2 linked regions of the Arabidopsis thaliana genome follow. The protein of the gene in region 1 interacts with the protein of each later gene in a biochemical or structural test. Each region holds a gene or a part of one and is shown in the gene's direction. Other genes may lie near its edges.

Region 1 (6,087 bases):
AAAAGATATCATGCTAAATTTGTCTTCTTTTGACAAAAGTTTATTGGTTTTCAGTCCTAGAAACTTGTAAATTATGTAAGCGAGTGACAAAGTTTATTGGTTTTCAGACCTAGAGAGCAGTGAATGACAAAGTTTATTGGTTTGCAGACCTAGAACTTGTGAACGGGCAGCGAATAAAGTAGCTCATATCATTACGCTTTCCCGATTCTAGTTCCTTGGTTTTATATGACGACGGTTATCTGTTGTGATTGATAAACCGGATCGTATAACTAATTAGTAATTCCTTTCAAACTTTTAGTTTGAAGAAGATGTTGAGCCAAAAAACATTTATATAATCTATCCGAAGAAACTTGTGTTTGCTTCTTAGGCCATCTTCAACGGTAAAATTAGGTGGATTATCTTAAAATATTGTTTTTTAATTATTATCATATAATATTATTATTTACTTAAATAATTATTCTGAAAATAATAATTTAACCTATTAAAATGTAACCTATTATTTACTTTTCTCTCTCTCCTACTTTATTATTATTTTATATTTTTTAGTTAGTGAAAAACCATACTAGAGACTACTGATGGAGATGTTCTTATCTTTTCTGTCTATTTTTGACTTTCATGATTCGCTTTTAGTTTCTTTTCTTCGGCTTCGCTTTTGGGTTTTCTATTTTAGCTTTTTTCTTTTTGCTTATAAGAAAAAAAAAAAAACTAATTATGTACTTATTGTAGTTTAATTATAGTAATATTCTTTTGATTTTTTTTCTTTTTTTTCCTACTAAACAGTTAAAGATTCACGTACTACTTATCAAATTCAGTTCAGACAGTCGGACAATATCAATAGGTGCACCTAAATTTCATTCCAAGTTTTACCCTACCACAAAAAAAAAAAATCATTCCAAGATACAGGCCTAAATACGTGTACAGAATGTTAAATCACCAGGCCCAATTATGGCCCATATTCAAATATCAATAGCACCTAAATTTCTAGTTTCTACGTCCCTTCTTCATTTTTTCCTTGGGTCAACTAAAATTCAAAAGTCCTATTTTCTAAAATAAGCTAATATAGAAGCAAAACAAAGGAATTGGGTTATTTTAAGTCCAGATTTTTCAGACAAGTCACCGGTGAGCGGTGGCTGCGTATCAGAAACCTTGCCGTGAGCATTGCTAAATAATAAACATAGATAGGGGAATAAGCTCCAAAATAAGCTCCCTTGTATCCTACCATTGTGTTACAATTTAGCATTACGCCGAGTTGCCAATACTGTCTTAATTTTCCCTTTGATCCCCATATATGAGACACCTCTGATCTGTTCTTCACCGCATTTTTATGATTGACGGTTTTGCTGATGGTTAGTACATTAGAACTTATTAGATACCAGAGAATGCAAATACATTGTATAATCCCCATGTGGCCACGTTCCGTTTATGAGGAGTAATATTTTATACAACTATCACATTCTTCTTTACCCAAAAAAAACGAAAAAAAAAACTACCCAATCTTATAGCGAAGATGTGTGAGATCCAATGATGAAGCAATTAAATTATTGCTAGTGAATTCATGTCATTATGCGAACACGTACTACTTGAGAAAAGTACACCATATAGTTTTCTTGTGATGGACGGTGAGGATTCAGCTTGGGAAACGATGTCGTAACGTTTGGATGCAGAACGTCGGGCGCACGATTTGGATATCTCTTTTTTTTTTTTGTCTCCCCTATCCTCAAGTCAGGGATTTTATTACAACTTTGAATATTTATTTCCTTTTTTTATGTCGGCCTTCTTAAAACTTTTCAAGATTTTCAATTAGTCACTAAACTTTCCATTTTATCTTTTTCACTCTATTATATAATTTTAGATGTAACGTAAAATATTACTATTAGGATGTGAGATAACATAATCCAACCACAATTATATCGTTATCTAGTAACATTAACTATATATTATAAGTTATAAATTGAAAGGAATCTCTTGAGAGTAACTATTTAGGGCCTAATTGTGAAACTAAAAACGTGTAGGGCTGAAACTAATAACAATTCGTACGTTGGGTCACTATTAAATCATCAAAGATCTGTAGAAAATAATGAAAAAGTGGCCCCACACGCTCCAATTAAATTACAGCAGCTCCACAAAGTAGCTCTTAAAGAGCTTCCATCACGGACCAGATCCCGAATTCTTCTTCTGACCACCGAACGATTGAGTTTCTCCGATCAGATCTCAGTTTCTGGGAATAATTCGAAGTTAGTATTTCTCTACTTCATCTCTATGAATCTCATTCATTTTATCTTTATGTTTCTCTTTACTTGTTTTGCGATTAAAACTCGTTTGATCATTTAGGTGGTTCTTTGTTTTGTGAGATAAGTGGAACTCGCTGACTTTTTTTTTTTTCTTTTTGGATAATCAACGATCGGGTTCATTTGCTATTGTCCTCTAGTGTTACACTGATACGATCTTTAGTTTTGAGTTAGATCAGTGACTTTAGTTTCACTATTCAACTAGTGTTCCTTGTTTTTAGGACAATACTGCGAAAATTTAGCTGCTCTAAAATTTTGATACCAGATCTTTGAGATTCGTAGATCTCGCTTTTCTTTTTTTTTAGTTTTTTCAGAAACTAATATTGTGTTCTGGTCAATTCTTATTGCTAAAGGTGAAAAAATGGCGCAGCATCTGTTGCACGGGACTTTACATGCTACCATCTATGAAGTTGATGCCCTCCATGGTGGTGGTGTTAGGCAAGGCTTCCTTGGCAAGGTATAATAAGATCCATTGTTATTGCATCATTTTTGCGCCAATCCTGACGTCTTATTTTGTAGTTCAAATTAGTCTGTGGACTAATACACAGTTTGATCTTTATTTTTCTGATGAAACTTTCAGATTCTGGCAAATGTAGAAGAGACGATTGGTGTTGGTAAAGGAGAAACACAGTTGTATGCGACGATTGATCTGCAAAAAGCTAGAGTTGGGAGAACCAGGAAGATCAAAAATGAACCTAAGAACCCAAAGTGGTATGAGTCGTTTCATATTTACTGTGCTCACTTGGCTTCTGATATCATCTTCACTGTTAAAGATGATAATCCCATTGGAGCTACCCTTATCGGAAGAGCTTACATTCCTGTTGATCAAGTCATTAACGGCGAGGAAGTGGATCAGTGGGTTGAGATCTTGGATAATGACAGAAACCCTATTCAGGGAGGATCAAAGATTCATGTCAAGCTTCAATATTTCCATGTTGAGGAGGATCGTAACTGGAACATGGGTATCAAAAGTGCCAAGTTCCCTGGAGTGCCATACACATTCTTCTCGCAGAGACAAGGCTGCAAAGTTTCTCTGTACCAAGATGCTCATATTCCAGACAACTTTGTCCCTAGAATTCCTCTCGCTGGAGGGAAGAACTATGAGCCTCAAAGATGTTGGGAGGATATTTTTGATGCTATTAGCAATGCAAAACACTTGATCTACATTACTGGTTGGTCTGTTTACGCTGAGATTGCTTTAGTGAGGGACTCGAGGAGGCCTAAGCCTGGAGGTGATGTGACCATTGGTGAGCTACTCAAGAAGAAGGCTAGTGAAGGTGTCAGGGTTCTTTTGCTTGTTTGGGATGACAGAACTTCTGTTGATGTGCTGAAGAAAGATGGGCTCATGGCTACTCATGATGAAGAGACCGAGAATTTCTTCAGGGGAAGTGATGTCCATTGTATTCTGTGCCCTCGTAACCCGGATGACGGTGGTAGCATAGTCCAAAGTTTGCAGATCTCTACTATGTTCACGCATCATCAGAAAATCGTTGTTGTGGACAGCGAGATGCCAAGCAGAGGAGGATCAGAAATGAGGAGAATTGTGAGTTTTGTTGGCGGTATTGATCTTTGTGATGGAAGATACGACACTCCGTTCCACTCCTTGTTCAGGACATTGGACACAGTCCACCATGATGACTTCCATCAACCTAACTTCACTGGTGCTGCTATCACTAAAGGTGGTCCAAGGGAGCCTTGGCATGACATTCACTCCCGTCTTGAAGGTCCAATTGCTTGGGATGTCATGTACAACTTCGAGCAGAGATGGAGCAAGCAGGGTGGTAAAGACATTCTGGTTAAGTTGAGAGATCTTAGTGATATTATTATCACCCCTTCTCCTGTTATGTTCCAAGAGGACCACGATGTGTGGAATGTCCAATTGTTTAGGTCCATTGATGGAGGAGCTGCTGCTGGGTTTCCCGAGTCGCCTGAAGCTGCTGCGGAAGCCGGGCTTGTAAGTGGGAAAGATAACATCATTGATAGGAGTATCCAAGATGCTTACATTCATGCAATCAGACGTGCTAAGGATTTCATCTACGTTGAAAACCAGTACTTCCTTGGGAGTTCTTTTGCTTGGGCAGCCGATGGTATTACTCCTGAGGACATCAATGCCCTGCACTTAATCCCAAAAGAGTTGTCGCTGAAGATAGTTAGCAAGATTGAGAAAGGAGAGAAGTTCAGGGTCTATGTTGTGGTTCCAATGTGGCCAGAAGGTCTCCCAGAGAGTGGATCAGTGCAAGCTATATTAGACTGGCAGAGGAGGACCATGGAGATGATGTACAAGGATGTGATTCAGGCTCTCAGGGCCCAGGGTCTTGAGGAAGATCCAAGAAACTATCTGACATTCTTCTGTCTTGGAAACCGTGAGGTCAAGAAAGATGGAGAGTATGAGCCTGCTGAGAAACCAGACCCCGACACTGATTACATGAGGGCGCAAGAAGCACGCCGTTTCATGATTTACGTCCACACCAAAATGATGATCGGTAAGTTCACATTTCAACGGAAAAAAACTTGAGAAGTATACATAAATGTTGTGCCTGATTCATTTGATGAAATCCATTTTGCAGTTGACGATGAATACATTATCATTGGGTCTGCTAACATCAACCAGAGGTCAATGGACGGTGCAAGAGACTCTGAGATAGCAATGGGAGGTTATCAACCACATCACTTGTCCCATAGACAACCAGCTCGTGGCCAGATCCATGGGTTTCGTATGTCACTCTGGTACGAACACCTGGGAATGCTCGATGAAACCTTCCTCGATCCATCAAGCTTGGAATGCATTGAGAAAGTTAACCGCATTTCTGACAAGTATTGGGACTTTTACTCAAGTGAGTCACTCGAACATGACCTTCCTGGTCACTTGCTCCGCTACCCGATCGGTGTAGCCAGCGAAGGCGACATCACTGAGCTTCCAGGATTTGAATTCTTCCCGGACACAAAGGCCCGTATCCTCGGCACCAAATCAGACTACCTGCCTCCAATCCTTACAACCTAATCTCACTAAGCATGTCAAGTAATGATCTCTCTCTCCCTCTCTGCTTTGCTGCTGTTGTAGCTTTGAATAAAACTTGAGTGTCTACCTTTAGAATTAAGAAGTCAAATGGTTGTTATGATGATGCACTTCTTTACCCCTTTGGTTTTTATATTCGTACAATGACGTGGTGAGAGAATGTAGCTTTGTGATCTTGTTTTGTTGTTGTTATGTACCTTTGGACTTATGAATCTTATATCTGATCCTTTTCTTTTTATTTAGTGTGTTTCACATCAAAGTTTAAACAAAAATAGCAATGAACTAGGTAAAACATACTTCATTAGAAAAGTGAAAGTGACAATCTAGAGATAAAGCATGAAACTAGGGTTCATATAGCACAAAACTAATACAAAAGGGGTTTTAAAGTTTTAAGCCGGAAACAGGGCACGACACACCGGACAAATCCCACTGTTCCTAAGCCATTCCTCTCCACAAGTACGATGAAACACATGCGAACACGGCATTCGACCCGCTTCCACATCTGACCCAACTCGGATATTATCCATGCATATCACACAATAGCCTTCATTCTCAACAACAAGCGTCTCCAAGTGCATCTCCACCGCCTCATCGTTCGCTGGAGCAACCGCAAGTTGCACTTGCACATCTACGTGATCATCTTCACCGGGAAACCTCGAGACAGTAACACCTATCTTTACTTGTACCCTCTCCACGTCTTTCGCACCATCTTTCTTCAAATCCTTAATCTCATCAGCAAGAGTGTTAACAATAGCAGAATAAGGAGGGACTTGGAGCGAATCT
Region 2 (6,321 bases), on another chromosome or scaffold:
GACAACGATCACAAAAATTGTTTAACACCGCGTATTCTTCCGCCAACGTTTGCGGCAGCGGGTGGTTAAAAATTACACTATTTTTAAGTTTTAAATTCAAATAAATTTAATAACTTTTTTGACTCTTGGAGTCATGCTCTGAACACAAATGATTCATTTTCCGGAGAACATAAGTGCATTGTATCCGTCTAATCGTCCCAACATACTTCACTATAAATGTAATTTAATACTAACAATTAAATTGAAGTGTTGTTCGTCGCATGCATGTATGTACGTACAATAATTATATAGTTTCATTATCATAGAACTGTCGGGGAAATTGTGAATCATCACCAGCCGCCACATGAACTTATTTGCCGTTGTTCTGGTTTAAGGCTGGTAAGATTTATTCGGCGGCTGTAGGCCTGTAGCCCTTGAAATATGGTAGACAAGATCGTCCATATAATTAAGATTTTGTTTTTCACTTCTAAATTAATTAATGGGTGACTTGGGCGATTTTGTATTGTTGTTTAGTGGCTAGAAAGAAAACTTTTAACGATAAATTTACTTATGCAAAAATTATATTAGTTTAGTTTAGCAACTTTATATGTACTTAATTAGTAAAATAATACATTTAAATGTAAACTATTTGTACATATTAATGTTGTCCAAACAATATGCACTTTTTGAATTTTTTTACTGTATTCTCCACCTAGTTTTTCTAATTCATCCAAGCATTTTGATGAATTTGCATGTCTCCATAGATGAATTAGTATCTACTATCTCTAAAAACTCAATCTCCACCGAAGATATTGCTTAACCAATGTGCTCCTAGACCAAATCCAAAACCTTAGCCGCTTCATACTTAACATCCACTTTTGTAGCATCCTCAAACTGTTTTACAACCTTTTCAACCGGGACACAATCGCCTTGTCTTAGTAGTGAAGCGTAGGTTAATCATGGATGATGATTTTTGTTCTTTGACAACATCTGGTAAGGTTTTTGGTTTATGGCTCACCCTTTTTACTTTTTCGGTCTTTCTTATATAGTGTTTTGGTGGGTTTTTTCTCGTTCATTTTTCACGACCTTCTTATCCTATTACTAGGGTCATTAAATTGTTCGTTAGGTTAAAGAGATTTACAATATGAAACCGATTATGTCCATTAAAACGTGAATAAGACAGAAAAGAGCACCAAGAAAATGAAAAATAATTTAATGTATGTTCAGGAAATCCTATGAAAACATAATGATTGATCGGGTTTATTGGTTTTGTAGCTGGTGGTTTAAGTGGTTAGGGAAGCTATGTATTTATAATTTATTGATTCAATATGGTTTTGCATCTGAAATATATTTAAGCCCAACCAATAAATATACCATCACTCGCCAAGACCGTTTCTCAGTGGAAACATTTTGTGAGAAGTTCAAGTCGATGTTAATGATTGTAAGGATTTAACGGATGTGATGTTTTTGTAGGTTGAAGATTTAAAGTACTATATGATATGTTGTGTTTTTATCGATTTTGAATCTTTATTTTCTTTCCTAAATCAAAACTGCAATATATTTCCTAAGCTAGCAAAACCCATTCTAGATATAAGTAGAGTCCAGCTTGTAATGCAACTGCAAAGCAAAAATCAAGATATTTCGATACAAGGACTTGATGTCATAAAATTCCAAATTTGTTTTGTCTTGCCACACTTAGTAATTCTCTTCCAATAATGGTTAACTTAATAGTATATAAAATAAAAATGCATATAGGTTCCGTAATTAATCTTCTTTATCGTCACGAGAGGCACATCTTTTTTCAACATTTGACCACTCTCTCTCTCTCTCTCTCAGGACCTTTCGGCGTAATTTCGTCTTCCCCTTTGCTTAACATTTTCTTTCTTTCTTTTTGACCAAATATTAAAAATATATCCATTTTTATTTTATTTTTAATTAAATTCATAATTTGCATTTTATGTATTTATAATAAAAAGGAGAGAATAAATCCAAAAGAGTGAAGCAAAAACATTAAAGCGGAAAGAAAGTGGTAAAACAATAATAGAAACAGGAGAAGCAGAAGTACTACTTCTTCTTCTTCTGCTCTCTTCTCAGACCTTGTTTTGTACTTTCTTCTTCTTCTTCTTCTTCTTGTTTGCGAACTCCGATATCTTCTTCACTACCTTTGACTCCATTTCTTTTTCTTCTTCAGGTGAATTCTACTTTACTTTTCTTCTTACCCCAAATTTACTCTTTTGGGTTTTATGAAAGTTTTGTTTTTTATTACTCAGATCTTGTCCTAGTTCTCCTCCTTGTTCTGTTGTTTTTCTGTTTCGTTTCGAATTGGTTTTGTTTTTCAAGTTTAGGGTTTTGTAGATCAGTTCGTCGTTACTGTAGATTGGAAATGAAAATTATGATTCTTTGGATCTGATTATAGCAGTTCAAGTGTGAACTCTATCTATTACTTGATTTGCTATCTCACAGTTTTTGAATTTCTTAATGGTGTTAGCTACTCGACTTTTAGAGCTCATTTTCTTAACTACTGAACTTGTTTCATTTGAGAGGTACTAATCCAGTATATATTATAAAGTTTAATGCTTTTTCTTACTTGCATTCTTTGAACATGTTTGCTATTTTGGTGAGTGAAACTTTATGTATATTTATGAATTTTGAGCTAAAGTATTGATTGTTTCATAAGTAGGTGTAGGCATTGTCTTGTTATGAGAAGCAACTGTAGCTGGAAGCTCAAGTATTTGTTTTTAGCTGTGGAGCTTGAATCTTGATAGTTTTCGACTTCTATGTTATTACCTGTGGGGATATAGAAACAATCATGGGCTTACTCTGCAGTAGAAGTCGACATCATACTGAAGATACTGATGAGAATACACAGGTTGACTTAAGAGCTCTTGTAACACTCGATGTATGGGAGCATTATTTCTGATACTTCAAGAGTTAACTTGGTTTGTATTAATCTACAGGCTGCTGAAATCGAAAGACGGATAGAGCAAGAAGCAAAGGCTGAAAAGCATATTCGGAAGCTTTTGCTACTTGGTATGTAGACCTTGGATTAGAAATGTGAATGGCATGCCTTGATGAATCTTTTGGTAATAGTTTTCCTCTAATTTTCTGACTTGTGTTTTGTAAAGGTGCTGGGGAATCTGGAAAATCTACAATTTTTAAGCAGGCAAGTCCACAAGGAAAATTGATTGTACTCTTTACTTAAATTTACTTATGAATCCTGCTAATTGAATGATACAAATTTACTAATTTGCAGATAAAACTTCTATTCCAAACGGGATTTGATGAAGGAGAACTAAAGAGCTATGTTCCAGTCATTCATGCCAATGTCTATCAGACTATAAAAGTATGCAATACTTGAAATGACTGTGTCGGTTTTATCCTTCTAATTGGCGGTGTTTTCGAGTTCTTTTGGATTTACAATCTAGAGAATCATTTATATGAGTAATCAAATTTTTTTCATATGTTGATCTTGGTATATTGTACATGTAGCTTAATAGCTACTCTATATTGTTGAACAGTTATTGCATGATGGAACAAAGGAGTTTGCTCAAAATGAAACAGATTCTGCTAAATATATGTTATCTTCTGAAAGTATTGTAAGTGGTTAGATTCATAGGTCACTTGAGCTGTCTTTGTTAGAGTTTTGAGTCTTGTGAGTACCTTGTCTTATGGTAGTCAACTTATTATCGTAATATCAGGCAATTGGGGAGAAACTATCTGAGATTGGTGGTAGGTTAGACTATCCACGTCTTACCAAGGACATCGCTGAGGGAATAGAAACACTATGGAAGGATCCTGCAATTCAGGTGTGTTTGTGTGTGTGTGTGCACGTTTTATTTACTATTGCACTCAAAGTTGAATACATGATTTAAACGTTTCATTTTGTAGGAAACTTGTGCTCGTGGTAATGAGCTTCAGGTTCCTGATTGTACGAAATATCTGATGGAGAACTTGAAGAGACTATCAGATATAAATTATATTCCAACTAAGGTATAACCAAAGTATCATTCTTTGTTGAAAACATTTCAAGTAATGATCTTAAAATGGTTGAATAAAACTCATTGGATCAGCCTCGGAGGATCAATGTATTAACAAACAGAAGCCTTTTGCTTTCCATATTAGCCTAGTTGAGCTAGCATTTTCAGAGACCAGAGTCAATATGCAATTTCTGTGACATGTGTCTTCCGGAATGTGTTGTCATTGGTGCATTTTTTCTATGTTGGTGTTTCAGGAGGATGTACTTTATGCAAGAGTTCGCACAACTGGTGTCGTGGAAATACAGTTCAGGTACCAACTACTTTTTGTTTTACCCTTTTTCCTGTTTGATTGTTAGTCTTTCATAGATGAGTAATTGTTTGATAAGCTCTAAGTGTTAGTCTGGTTCACTAGGCAATATGATTAGCTAGGCGGTTTGTAGTAGCTGTGTTAACAGCTCAGCAACAATCTTGTTAATGTAGTCTCTCTGCGATGTGTAAGTTATTTGGTGAAATGAATAAAAGTGTTTACGGATTCGATTCCTATGATTGCCACTAAGATGTACTAATAGAACATATGAATTCCATACCAATATCAAACTTGTTGTTGTGGTGAATCTACTTGTAATGATCCGTTACCAAAGATGAATTCACAAATGGTATATGAGATAAAGCTTCGTTTATGCAGCCCTGTGGGAGAGAATAAAAAAAGTGGTGAAGTGTACCGATTGTTTGACGTGGGTGGACAGAGAAATGAGAGGAGGAAATGGATTCATCTGTTTGAAGGTGTAACAGCTGTGATATTTTGTGCTGCCATCAGCGAGTAAGCTCACTTCATTATAAATTATAAGATATCCTCGTACTGTCCACATATTGCCAAAACATTAACTGAGTTTTGATCATAGGTACGACCAAACGCTCTTTGAGGACGAGCAGAAAAACAGGATGATGGAGACCAAGGAATTATTCGACTGGGTCCTGAAACAACCCTGTTTTGAGGTTTTTAGTTACATTTTTATCTCATCTTTTAAAAATTTAAAGACACTCTTGAGATGGGTTTGGTTACAAAAACTTGGTTCTCTTTACGCAGAAAACATCCTTCATGCTGTTCTTGAACAAGTTCGACATATTTGAGAAGAAAGTTCTTGACGTAAGAAGAACTAAAGCATATTTATTTGTTTTGATAGGCAAGCAAGTCTTTTTGTTCAATAACGCTTTCTTATTCAATGTGCATAGGTTCCGTTGAACGTTTGCGAGTGGTTCAGAGATTACCAACCAGTTTCAAGTGGGAAACAAGAGATTGAGCATGCATACGAGTAAGCTTGTCTCCAAACTTTACTGATTCCCGCCAAACTGTTACCGTTATATGACCTTATTTTTAATTTGGATTCAGGTTTGTGAAGAAGAAGTTTGAGGAGTTATATTACCAGAACACGGCGCCGGATAGAGTGGACAGGGTATTCAAAATCTACAGGACGACGGCTTTGGACCAGAAGCTTGTAAAGAAAACGTTCAAGCTCGTAGATGAGACACTAAGAAGGAGAAATTTACTGGAGGCTGGCCTTTTATGACCTTATTATTACATATCTCTAGTAAATTACCTCTCCTTATTATTATAAGAAAAACTCGAAAACTGAATGACCGTGTAATTTATCTTTCGGGACAAAAGACTTAGCGATTCAAAATCTAATGTGTCTCGATGGCTACGACTAGTTTCTATTTTATCATTGTTTTTGTTAACATTCCTCTGTCTTTGACTTCTTATTTTTTTTTCTCATCAAAAACATCTCATTTTGATCTTGTTTTTGGGGTTATATTATTATTAAAATGAGGCATCCACATCCCGAAATCTAGAAAGTGAAACACAACACAAAACGTAACTTTATCAGTACTAAAAAGTTTTGGAATGTTCCTAACATGAAAAAGTTCTTACATTAAAAAAAAGTATGGGGGTGAAACTGAACAAATACAAAATATGATGTAAAAACTGAAATAAAAGTAAAACACATGGGGTCTACCGTGATTTCAGAACATTCGAAAAAGCGACTTTAAAAATAATTGCACCGAAGAAAGAAGAACCCTGAAAGCAAAAAACTCTTCGCCGTTGTTGTTTCTTACGTCAAAGAATATTCCTTCTTCTCTTTCGTTAATAGATCCCAAAAAAAAAAAAAAGCTTCATTGATTCTTCTTCCTCTGTTTTTGATTCCGTTTTCGAGCAATCCTCTGAAACATGTATGTTGTTGTTCTCTCTTTCTTCCAATGGTGTTCTGATTTTGCTTTTTCTGTTATACGATAATGATAACAATCGCTTCTTAGTTTGATTAATACGAAACTCTCAAAGATCACGAAATTGGTTTTGTTAGGGAAC

The links. Proteins that work in one complex are often made in the same cells at the same time.
Region 2: the proteins of PLDALPHA1 (region 1) and GP ALPHA 1 form a complex in vitro, tested with the Arabidopsis thaliana proteins (one study listed by BioGRID).

What each region holds. Positions count from the first base shown.
Region 1 is NC_003074.8:5,328,186-5,334,272, forward strand, and holds PLDALPHA1 (phospholipase D alpha 1), read left to right. Parts: upstream 1-2,008; 5' UTR 2,009-2,234; intron 2,235-2,641; 5' UTR 2,642-2,649; coding exon 2,650-2,745; intron 2,746-2,868; coding exon 2,869-4,771; intron 4,772-4,855; coding exon 4,856-5,289; 3' UTR 5,290-5,560; downstream 5,561-6,087. Other genes in the region: AT3G15740 (RING/U-box superfamily protein), read right to left, coding at 5,694-6,087. UniProt on the Arabidopsis thaliana protein: Hydrolyzes glycerol-phospholipids at the terminal phosphodiesteric bond to generate phosphatidic acids (PA).
Region 2 is NC_003071.7:11,195,299-11,201,619, forward strand, and holds GP ALPHA 1 (G protein alpha subunit 1), read left to right. Parts: upstream 1-1,697; 5' UTR 1,698-2,170; exon of another isoform or gene 2,171-2,522; intron 2,523-2,659; 5' UTR 2,660-2,788; coding exon 2,789-2,848; intron 2,849-2,936; coding exon 2,937-3,009; intron 3,010-3,104; coding exon 3,105-3,142; intron 3,143-3,232; coding exon 3,233-3,322; intron 3,323-3,497; coding exon 3,498-3,575; intron 3,576-3,677; coding exon 3,678-3,785; intron 3,786-3,867; coding exon 3,868-3,969; intron 3,970-4,210; coding exon 4,211-4,266; intron 4,267-4,641; coding exon 4,642-4,776; intron 4,777-4,858; coding exon 4,859-4,952; intron 4,953-5,043; coding exon 5,044-5,103; intron 5,104-5,189; coding exon 5,190-5,269; intron 5,270-5,346; coding exon 5,347-5,524; 3' UTR 5,525-5,804; downstream 5,805-6,321. UniProt on the Arabidopsis thaliana protein: Exhibits a fast rate of basal nucleotide exchange. Guanine nucleotide-binding proteins (G proteins) are involved as modulators or transducers in various transmembrane signaling systems.